Linked DNA regions of Canis lupus familiaris. The protein of the gene in region 2 purifies or fractionates together with the protein of the main gene of each other region. This does not show direct contact. Links are inferred from orthologs where the notes say so. Each region holds a gene or a part of one and is shown on either strand. Other genes may lie near its edges.

Region 1 (6,205 bases), about 28 Mb from region 2:
ATTCTGAGCTTATCTCTAAACAGAATGGAGGTTAAATTTCACATTTAATCTTATTATCCTAACTTTTTCTCTTAAAATTGCTTTAAAATGATAATATAGGTACTGCCTCATGTTATCACAAACTTATTCTAAACACTATTTTCTTTAACTACTCCCTTATTGCTGTTCATTTAGGTTGTTTACCAAACTACTGTTCCAATAACGGTAACAGAAATTGCTGATAATTGAGCGCTTGCTATCTGGCAGGCGCTCTTCTGTGTATTTTAACCAATCTTAAGTCTTTAATCCTCACATCTTCCAGAGACAAAGGTGCAGATGGCTAAGCAATTTGCATGAGGTCCATGGGTAGCAGGTGACAGAGGTGATAATCGGGCTTCAGAACAAAGCTTTAATGTCTCTGTCAGGAATGTCCTCTCTTTGTTGGTAACATGATAATTTACAGTAAGTAAAGCAAACAAATTTAAGTGTACCTTAATACACCATCCGGATCAGAGTATAGAAAGAACATCATGGATATCCTTCTACACACATATTTTTTTTCTATTTAAGATAAATTAAACTGGATTCTCAGAATAGAGTTATAAGATTCACAGGAACGATCTTGGTTGCTTTCCCAAAGAGTCACATCTGTTATTAATCTCAGTTTTCTGTTTCACCTTGTCTTCAGCAGCATGAGAATTTGCATTTGAAACATCTCCAAATGTGATACTTTGGGCTGGAGTATTTAAAGTGAAATGTCTGTCCTGGAGAACCTTTGGTTCTTGTCAAAGTATGAGGCTCAAAATCTGTGGCAACCTTCTTCTGGGGGCAAATCTTGGTCTTTTTTTTAATGGTCAATCAATCTAAAAAGTGAATAGAATTGTTGTAATTTCTTGGCTTGAAAGGATGGGATAAACTTTAAAACTATCAGAAAAAGCTGATTTAGAGGTCAAGTTGGAATGTGAGCAACATTTGAGGCACCCTGATCATCCCTTCTATTTCCATGCAGTGAGGTAGAAGTAGTTCTTGGAATATTTAACTGCCTTTAATTCATCATTTACTGTCATCATTATCAGATACAGCTCTGATTTTGCAGATTGCTAGGTTTGACTCTACATACACAGATAGCTCTGCAGACTGGGGCTGCTCTAGAAGTTGATTCTGATCCAGTAACCAGATACCAGGAAAGCATCCGTAGGCCTGGGGGCTAGAATTCGTATTTTTAGCAAGCATATAGGGGATTCTACGAGCACTCAGCTCTGGTAGTCTAGAGGAGGTACTGTTGTTGTAGACGGGACAGCTGATGCTCAGAGAGGGGAAGGGACTGGTCTGAGGTCACACAGCTGGTTGGGAACATAACCGGGATTAGTAATGGCTCTGAGTCAATGCCTTTCCACTGCATGGCCCAGGAATGCTTTCCTGCCAAGTCAAAAGAAATTGGAGGGGTTAAAGAAATCCAAAACATGACCTCAGTCCTCAGAGAGGACTTCTATTCTAGGCAGGGGATGAACTACACATATCTAAGATAGGAAGACACAAAGGCCTGTCAATCTGCATAAACGTCCGCAGCTAGGGTCCGGTAAACAGAGCAAAAAAGGGAATTTCAGACATGAATTGGCCCCTCAATCTGTTGAGTGCTTCACACACCATATTTCTTTTAATTCTTTCAACAATCCCATGAGGGAAGTTGCTGTTAGCATCTCTCTTTTCCTGGTGAAGTAGCTGAGGCAGAGAGAGGTGAAAGGAAGGTCACTAAGCTAGCAGGTGGTAGAGCCAGGATTCAGAGCAAAGTGTCTGACTACAGGGCTGGCTGGGAAGTGTCTCCGAAGAGGCCCAACCTCTCTGCTTTGTTAGAAATTGCACCTGCTCATGGATCCTTTGAACAGGATATTTGATGACTAAGATCCATTCCCAAGTGACTCCATGGTCAGTTCACTTGATGTTTTCTCTCTGGAGAAATCAAGGTTCCTAGGATTTGCAGTTGAGTCTGTGGGGGCTGAGACTTCCCGAATCACAGATTCCCTTCGATCTCCTTATCCTACCATCATTTTGATGAGGGATTGGTTTGGGTTTTTTTTTTTGGGGGGGGGGCGGTTTATGAAGAATGAAACTGTCCCAGTGCTGCAGATGGGTCCCAGGGTCTGAGGTCTCCAAGAAGCAGCTCTCCCTTCCCCCACCTCAAGCAGATGGCCGGCACAGATTCCTTTCGATCTCCTCATTCTACCATCATTTTGGTGAGGGATTTGTTTAAATCACCCCTGACCTGTAGTCCACCTCCCTGCACTAAGGGGAGATTTGCCCATGGATTCTGCTATTACTCGACCAGGTTGTGTAGTTCTTCTCACACTGAAGACAGGACCTGTCTGGGCATCTCAGTCTGTTCCTAGGGTTCTCTCACCAATTCTCAGTATTTTCTCCTTTCTTTAATTGAGGTAACACGCCCTTTACAGCATCTTGGCAAGTTTCGTCTTCTTGCCCTAATTTATTTGGTCTACATTTAAGAAAAATACTTCAAAAGGCAGTTGTCTCAAGCATCTTTGTACCCACAGTGCTGAAGCTTAAGCTTATTGTGACCTTTTGGAGGAAAGAACAAAAACAAGATACACACAAAGCAGCAAATAACAGGATCTGTGGGCTATACATCTTTCATGCCACACTCGATTCTATATCTCCACATGTTTCTTCTTTAGGTTGATGGGGAGCAGTTAGGTATCATATAGACCCCATGTGTCTATACATCCCAGGGAGCCCCATTCCACCCCCAGGGGAAAAAAAAAACAGAAAGTTGACTTAAGTGACATCTAAAATCTTGACTTTAAAATATCATCTTTACAACCATGTGAAGTGTCAACAGAATTCCATCCCATCCTCCAGGGACTGGGGTGTTGGAAGCTCAGATGTTCCTTACAAGACTTCTTATCTTTTGAACAGGGATGGAGAGTACCCAAGTTGTGTGGCTTGGAATCTACTCAAGCAGATGTGTGACCTGTGGTCTCCTCAGCAGATGACCAAGCACAGGTCCTTGAGCAGCTCCTCCAGGGCCAGAAGGCAGGATGGTAACACTCTAGTTTCAGGTCTGCCACAGGCTTGGCCTCTGACCCTGCTGGCAGAGCTCTTCCTCTTACAGGCCTCAGTTTCCTTGGCTATCTCAACTGATCATAACCTAGAGCTCATAGCAGTTCTCCCACCTGCTTCACAAGACCCTCATAAAGCTCCAGTGAGACTCTGTTCTCCGTGAGGAGCCCTCCTTCAGGTCACGAGCAATGACTGCCCAGCCACCATCTCTGGTATTGTTCGTGCTAGCCTTCTCCGTCCCTCCTGCCCTGCCTTTTCTTTCTCCCATGCCCAGGGCCCCATTCACCCCTTTCTAGTAAGCAGCCTTGATCTCATTAGTGGCTTCAGCAGTTCTGAGTCCCCTGAGCACGGACTTTGAAGCCAGAAACGCGTGACTGGAATCCTGCTTCTGTCACTCGTAGTCCCTGGGGCTTTCGGCCATTTAACCTTCCTGAGCCTACTTTCAGCTGAGCCCAGAGGACCGCAATACTGGAGAGTGTTAAATGGGACAGTGCCTGCAGAGCGCACACTCAAGCCCGGCGCTCAGTAGATACACATCCATCGGAGGGACCCCTTCTCCCCAGAACTCATCGCCAAGAAACTCAGGGGTGTATGGACATCTACATGGTGCTCGCTCAACTGGTAAGGCTGCCACGGGGTTGGAAGTTCTCTGCGCTGTTCTGCCTGACTCCTTCTTCAAGCCACTGCCCACCCCGCTGAGGGCAGCCAGCCTCCCCGCCCACAAAAGAGCAAAACTCACCTTCCTGAAGTAGTCGGCCAGGTTGTCGGGGTCCCAGGTCAGGACGTCTGAGCGAAAGGGCACGTTCCTCAATGCCATGGCTGCTCTCCCAGGACAGAACTCACAAGCTGAGCATGGGTGCTGCACCCATGGATGGAGAACCCCAGTCCAGAGCGTGGAGGTGTTCTTGGCTCTTCCAACTTCCAGTCACCGTCTGGAACACCCTTGTTGGAGCACAGGGCTTTTCTGCTGTAACCAGATCCCAGAAAGCAACAGCTTCCTCTGCGAACAAATATGGTCTCTTCTCAGAAAACGACTCAGCAAGTTTCCTTCACCACTTCCTCTGCTCGGCTCTAAATAAGTAAACAAGGAAGCCCAGCTCTGGTGGCTGGAGGAGGTAGAGAGAGCGACAGGGTTGGTATTGTACCCCCTGGCCCGGCCAGCCCCGCCCCGTGGGAGAGGCAGTGAAGGGGACTTGGATTCCAGTGTGAGCCCAAGTATGTGTCCATTAAAACTCCTGGCACCCAGATATTTGTCCCGCAGTCCTGCTGGGCCGGGTCTTTGCAGATGAAAATCTATTTTGACAGTTGACCTAAAATACACATGATCTCCCACATCAGCAAAGTGCCAGGGGGAAGGAGCATGGCCTTTTAAAATTTTTTTTTAATTTTTTTATTATTTATTTATGATAGGCACACAGTGAGAGAGAGAGGCAGAGACACAGGCAGAGGGAGAAGCAGGCTCCATGCACCGGGAGCCCAACGTGGGATTTGATCCTGGGTCTCCAGGATCGTGCCCTGGGCCAAAGGCAGGCGCCAAACTGCTGCGCCACCCAGGGATCCCTTTTAAAAAATTTTTTTTTTTAATTTTTTTATTAGAGCATGGCCTTTTAATGCTTTCCAGCCATCCCTCAGTCTCTCCCAAAAGGACAACATTGACATTCCTTCAGCAGCCTCCGTATAATTATGAGAGGATTCTCGGTGAGTGAGCTGGGCACCCAGGGTTGAGAAAGAGGTAGACCTAGGTTCAATTTCTGGTAAGATTATCTCCATGCTGCGTAACCTCCTGCAAGGGCTTAAAAATCTAGGAGTCTCAGTCTCCATATCCGTAAAATGGGAAAACAAGAATTGTCTCATATACACATAACCCTTAGATGCAGCTAACTAGACAAACTTAAAGAGAAAAAAATTAAGGGCACACAAATAGTGACCACTGTTGATGTTGCCCGAGGCTCTATTTTCTGTTGTTTCCCCCAAAGACTCTAGTCACCACTGATCCCCCCGTATCTTCTACCCAAAGAGGACATTCGCTGGAGTGGCCCTGCAGCAGGGCATCTGCTGCTTTCTTAGCTGGTCTCAGACCCCGGCACTTCTCCTAGTATGTGCACCTCATTGGAAGTGGGAGAATCCAGTGTAAAAAAGCAAATATATTTGTGCAACATCACAGTCTCTAAACATAGGTCCTCCACTTCAGCCAATGCTCTGCGCGCGCGCACACACACACACACACAGAGCCATCAGCTCTGATATTTGAGGGAAGAATCAAGCTCTGTTGCACTAAGTGACACTATGTCATGTGGAGGTACCTTCTTGAAGCCTTTCTGAGGGGAGCCTTGGCCATGCGTGGTTCCCATCTTACACACAATCTAAGGAGCCCTACTTTCAATGCACCAGCCTCTCCAGGTTGTTGTGCGCTTATAGGAGATTTGCATTTCATTCCAGGCCCAGCACCTGGGAAGCAGTCCATAAAATGTGGTGCCAGGGGGCTGGGGGCATTAGTCAATCCAAAGCTCTTCTCAAGGCCTGGAAGAGCCCTTGATAACTAACTGTGCTCTACAGGGCACAGCCCTGCTGTTCAAAAGCTCTGCCATTGGTGGGAGAGGTCACTTGGTGTTTCAAATCACTGGAATAGTGGTCAATGACAAAGTTATTTGCAAAGAGGGAAAAGAGAGAAATCACTTCCGGATAGGGTAGTCAAAGAAGATGTCGTGGGGGGCACCTGGGTGGCTTAGTTGGTTGAACGTCTGACTCTTGGTTTCCATTCATGTTATGATCTCAGAGTCATGAGATCGAGCCTGAGTTGGGCTCCATGCTCCTCGGGCAGTCTGCCTGAGATTCTCTCTCTCTTCTCCCTCTGCCCGCCCCCCTCCCGTGTACCCACAAGTGCACATGCATGCTCACTTACTCTCTCAAATAAATAGATAAGTAAAATCTTTTTTTTTTTTTTAAGAAGATGTTGTGTAATTATCTGAGACTTAAGTGGGGACTTGGAAGTTGAATGAGAGAGAGGACATTCTGGACCTGTGGGTATGTGTGTTGTCATATACTTCCTGAGCAAACAAAACACACAGCACCTGTGTAAAGGAATATTTAAGATCATGTTATAAAGAGAAACATTTTTTTAATGATGTTCACTCCCACTCAGAAAAATAAA
Region 2 (5,535 bases):
GGGGTAGAGGAGACATGAGAAATCTTGGTGTCCATCCCTGCCTACCTGTTGTTTTCTCCATAGTGACCCCTATGGTGGTTTAAAACCATCAATATTAAAAATTTTCCTCTTCCCACTCTTTAAGTGTTGAGAAACTGCCCCCCGCCCCCAGGAGCAGTTGCTTGACAATTACATGAGTTATTATATCCAGAGCCAGGACTTTAATCTAGAAACCATGACTATATCCAATGCTTTCCCACTATCTCATCTGCAATAAATGAGATAGAAAATATATAATTAGCTTTTATTACTTACCCAATTGTTTAGGAGGAGAAGGGAAACTGGAAAGAAAATGAGAACACATTTATAATCAGACCAATATAAACGAGAAATTGAGACCTTTTATTTAGGGGAGGCATGAACAAGTAATAGCCCAGAGGCTTCAGACTGCTAATTAATCTATTTGATGGTCATTCCTTTCTCATCTCCATTTCTCCACTGAGTCTCAGCTCCTTTCCATCAATTTTCAATTTTGCAAGACTTTTTTTTTTTTTTTTTTTAATTCCAATGGTGGCCAAAAAAGTCAAAAGTCAAGGTATCCAGTGGTTTATTTTGCCCATAGCCATCTATTTTTGAGGTTCTTCCAAATATTTTCAGATTTGTTCTCTGAAGTTTGGGCATATTATCACATCAGAGTAAATTAAATGGACTCAATGTTTTGGAGTCATTGTGGCATAGCTCAGGTCAAAACTTTTTATTTGACTTAAAGAGTAGAAATGAACAAAGGTCATAGGATTCTTTCTATGACCATGTTTTCCCAAACAGGAGAATGGTGAATAAGAGAGGAATATCCACTGTAGCCACAGAGGAAGAGTTTATTAATCTGAAATCAGCATTGGGTGGCATTTAGTTGCAATCTAATCAGTAATCTGAAATCAGCATTGGGTGGCATTTAGTTGCAACAGAAAAAGGCCTTTGCTTTTATAACTTTCTGAACTTTAAACACACACACAAACACACATCTCTAGAAGAATGGTGCACAGTTATACTAAGGTGTGAAAGGTCATTAGTTCAAATGACTGAAAATCAAAATTAGGAGGTGTACAATAGGAGCAAGAAAAATAATCTCTGCCTTTATTTCTAAGTAAGGTCATCATTTGAATAATGCTGTATCAAGAGAGGATTTGTTAAAATCAAAGAGGATTTGTTATGTTTATTTACAATTTTGAGTGTCCTGTTTACTAGGTGTTGATTTTAGGTCTCACAGAAGAGTTTAAAATAAGGAATTCTATGTGGAATTAACATTTAAAAAGACATTAGTGAAGTATGGAGAATCTGTTGAGCTACCGAGACGTTGAATATTTATTTAGAGAAAAGAAATTCCAAATTTTGTCCTTTACTTCCAGCAAATTAATTTTTAAAAGAGGATGTATATTTTGAAGGGTAGTCACTATCAAATATTATATAATATAATGTGGCCTTGGCATTGTGAGCTTTTAGATATGATGCTACATTTAAAAAAAAGTTCTACTAAACGCAGTATGTAGGAGTATGTGAGGGTGTGTGTTTGTGCATTTGTGTGTGTTATCTGCACATGTTTGTTGGGAAGGCAAAATATATCTTTAAACCATATGATAATTTTTGAATACTTTGTGTTCCTCTTACATAAATGCGTGAGTGTAAGGGTGACAGTAAATAAGGCTAAAATGACTAATGGAAAATGACATCGAAGTGACTTAAGCCTGTCAGAATTTGGTTATTGGTTATAAAATATTAGTAGCATTTGATTAAATTAATATTAGTGTAGTTATTGTGCACTGGATTTGGTTGGTTGACTCTTACGATGAACCTTCATTATTGTCTGACTCAGAGACTTTAGGTTTCTCTCGTATACTTTTCTTTCTGTCATCTTTTCCCTTTAACATCTTCAAAATCCCCCAGGACCACGAATTACTCTTCTCTTCAACCTGTAGTGTGGAGCTTAGGAGCATGCAGGCATTGATCAGAATGGAATCATCAATGGAATGTGAAGATGGGTGGACATTCAGATTTTTTATAATTATACTGCATTGATCATTCAGGCAGTAAGTTACTCATTGTAGTCACCAAGATGATGCTTTTAAGTTTATCGGCCACGGTCTTTGAATATTGCTGCTACTGGTAGGTAAGTTATTTTTTTCTATTTAGTGAAATATCTCTTGGTTTTAAAACAGCAAGCTAAATCAAAATTAAGTTATAAGTGTCAATTTTGCATTATTTTATGTTTAAAATTAAGTGAAAATCTTTGTTTTAAAATATGCCATTATAAAAGTTTAAACACTTAGAGAATTAACACTGTTTTTTAATTTTTATTTTTTAATTTAAATTAAATTAATGAACATATAGTGTATTATTAGTTTCAGAGGTAGAGTTCACTGATTCATCAGTTGTACATAACACCCAGTGTTCATTATATCATGTGATCTCCTTAATGCCTGTCACCCAGTTACCCCATCCCCCTCAATACTAGTTTTGCCACAAATAGCATATGGTTTCATTTTATTTGGATTGCCTATAACTATGGTTATTATCCAGAGGATAGCCATACAACTGATAAACTCTCCAGAGATTATAGATTGATAAAAAAATGATTGTGAAAAGTTTGAAAAAAAAACTACAACACTGATAATTCTTTTTTATTTCATTTCTTTTGACAAAGTTGTTGAGATTCTTCCAAATAACATGCCACTTCACTTGAAGTGTGGTGCAATTATACTTTCTGACTTACATCTGCTATTAAGTAAACATTCAAACTATTATTCGTGTGGTAATAAGGAGCACTATTTTTTGTTTTTTTATTCAAACCAGAAATCGACACTAAATTTCAGTTGGCAAAAAATTTTCAAGAAAGCAGTTCACTGATTATTCTTACCCATCATCAGCATCTTCTTCTTCAATCCCATCATAAATATCATCATCTGGGGGAGGAGGTGGGAACATCCCTTCATTTGGATGGTGGGGGAGAGAAACTTCTGTTAATTTTATAATTTGGTCATGTAATAGTCACTCAAAATTTGATAATAAATCTGCCTTATTTAAACTGCAGAAAATATCCCTGTTCCTTATTAACCATTTAATTAAAGAATAACTTTATTTTCCCACTCTTACATAGATAGTAGGTAAATTAATTGTTTTGTTGATTATTTTTAAAGGAATTCTTAGAGGTGAAATTTGAATATTGAATATGAAGGATAATAAAGGGTACTGTGCAGTGGGGAGAATAAATATGAGAAAAAATAAAACTGAGTTGAAGATAGAGTTAAAATATTGTGGAAAAGAGGAGGGAGGAGGTGATAAGAAAAATTTAATTAATAGTGAGGGGACATTCAGAAAAAGAGAATGATCAAGATATAAGTGAAGAAAAACAGAATTAAACGTGAATTTGTGAATTTTGGTGGTAGCTCTGATTCATTTAATCAAAGTGATATTTTAGGAGTTAAAAACCCTTTGCTGTAAATCCCCAGGAACCTTGCTATTTGACAAATATTTATTTATGAAATGTTTATTGAGTACCTCCTCCTTGCAGAAATGTGTACAAAGAACTTATAATCTGACTTTTAGGATGAGAATTTTAGCACTTCAAGGTATTAGTAAAATACCTTTATTTTGGTGATGAGGATATGAGGAGTTTTTAGCTGTCATAGTTAAGGTAACCATATAAGTTATCATCCAAATAAGGATACTTCTGAAAGTGAAGGGGGATACTATTAATAATTGTGCTCAGACAATTGGCATAAATCAAGACTGCCCTGGGCACACTGGAAATAGAGTCACCCTATAACCCATAACAAACTTGGAGGAAAGAAGTGACTTGTTTAGGGTCACTCAGTGGTCAGGACTGCAATCTAGGTCATTAGCTCCTAATCCAGTGGTACCACATTAAGATCCTCCTCATTATGTGCAAACAAAAGCATCTTGTTATTAATATAGACAAAAATGGTGAAGACATAAAGAAATTGCTGATAAAAGTGTGTGGCTTACCTCCACTTCCACTCTGACTGTGGCTAGGAAAAAAATAAACAAATTAAATGAGCTTATGAATTATGTAGCTAATGGGAAGGAATTGCCTATATTGAACAGTTATGTAAAAGAGAAATAACACTGCAGTTAAAAGTTATCAGGATGTTGTATGTAAAGAGGAAGAAACATTGTTCCTTATCATAATAGAAACAAGGCAAAAACCAAACCAAAACAAACTAATAAGAACCAAGTGAACGTTAGTACTACATAAAGTCTTCAAAACAATGTTACTGTTTGCTTCTAACATTTCCCGTGAGGTAGTTTTCAGGTTATACATTATTATATCATTCTGTAGATAGATTTATGAAAAACAACCAACCAACCAGCAGTATTGTTCCAGGAGTCATAAAGAACCATTATTGCAATTAAATTCAATTCTCTTTTAATATGTTATACCCACAACATTTTGATCTTAGTCTAGTAGCATTATAAACTTTTTTTAAAGGGAGGGTTTCTAAAAACTTGGAATCTTACAAAATCTTATTCTTTTTTTAAAACAAAGATTATTTATTTGAGAGACTGCGCATGCACATGTGCAAATTGGAGGAGGGGCAGAGAGAAAGAGGGGGATAGAATCTTAGGCAGGCTCCACACCCTGAGCAGAGCCTGACTCGGGGCTCAATCTCATGACCCTGAGATCATGATCACAGCTGAAATCAAGAGCTGGGTGCCTAACCGACTAAGCCAACCAGGTACCCCGAAATTTTATTATTATTGCAAATAGTGTGGCCCTGAATTTTCTAAATCCATATTGTCTGTATTTCGTATTTATTTCTCTAACATTTTGTGTTTTCCCTGTTTTATAATCATCTGTTTTCTTGCCTGTGTCTCCCACTAAAATGTGAGTTCTGCTACAGCACAAGAAAAGTAGATTGTGAGAACTGGGAAAATCTCAGAGGACTGGCTTAATCCCCTCATTTTGTAGAAAGGAAACTGAGGCTCTGGAAAATGAAGTGACCTGACCAAACCCACTTTTAATGAACAGAAGAGCTGACATAAGAACTTCGGCATCCTGCCTTCCTCCATAATGTTTTGTCTACACTTCGCTGCACCCTCTGTAACTAGCATTTTTGTACTTTGGATAATCTGCCAGCAACAGATATCAGGCTAATATTATAACCATGCAGTATTAATTATACACTTGTATCTGATTCCTCAACCTTAAAGTCAGAATAAAAGAAATGTTCTAACACAGGTCTATGGTTAATTTAGGGGAAAAAAAATACCACCATACTCTAGTTAATGAAACTTTGTAGAAAAACATGCTATAAATGTCCTAATGTGTAAATAAGGAATTGATTTTTGATGAAGTTTAAGTATATTCTCCACTTGCTTCCATACTGTTTTCACATTCATTTTGTCTGACACTTCCCTTTGAGCGTGAAGCAAGCAGTTAGAATTATGTGAAAAATTGCAATTTTGGTTGGCTGCCACTCCTGGCAAATACATTTCATCTTGGAGACTCTTCTACCAATTCCCAACGAACAGAGTCTTAAT

What was found. The genes of interacting proteins can lie anywhere in the genome.
Region 1: the proteins of FYB1 (region 2) and LCP2 purify together in Homo sapiens (co-immunoprecipitation; 6 studies listed by BioGRID and IntAct, with this or other methods). This does not show direct contact. The link is inferred for Canis lupus familiaris from reciprocal best matches to the Homo sapiens genes FYB1 and LCP2.

The regions. Positions count from the first base shown.
Region 1 is NC_049225.1:42,500,470-42,506,674, reverse strand, and holds the start of LCP2 (lymphocyte cytosolic protein 2), read right to left. Parts: upstream 4,151-6,205; 5' UTR 3,872-4,150; coding exon 3,794-3,871; intron 1-3,793. UniProt on the Homo sapiens protein: Adapter protein primarily involved in signaling pathways within T-cells, as well as other immune cells such as platelets, mast cells, and natural killer (NK) cells.
Region 2 is NC_049225.1:70,767,744-70,773,278, reverse strand, and holds part of FYB1 (FYN-binding protein 1), read right to left. Parts: intron 4,023-5,535; coding exon 4,000-4,022; intron 2,961-3,999; coding exon 2,891-2,960; intron 1,960-2,890; coding exon 1,822-1,959; intron 321-1,821; coding exon 295-320; intron 1-294. UniProt on the Homo sapiens protein: Acts as an adapter protein of the FYN and LCP2 signaling cascades in T-cells. May play a role in linking T-cell signaling to remodeling of the actin cytoskeleton. Modulates the expression of IL2. Involved in platelet activation.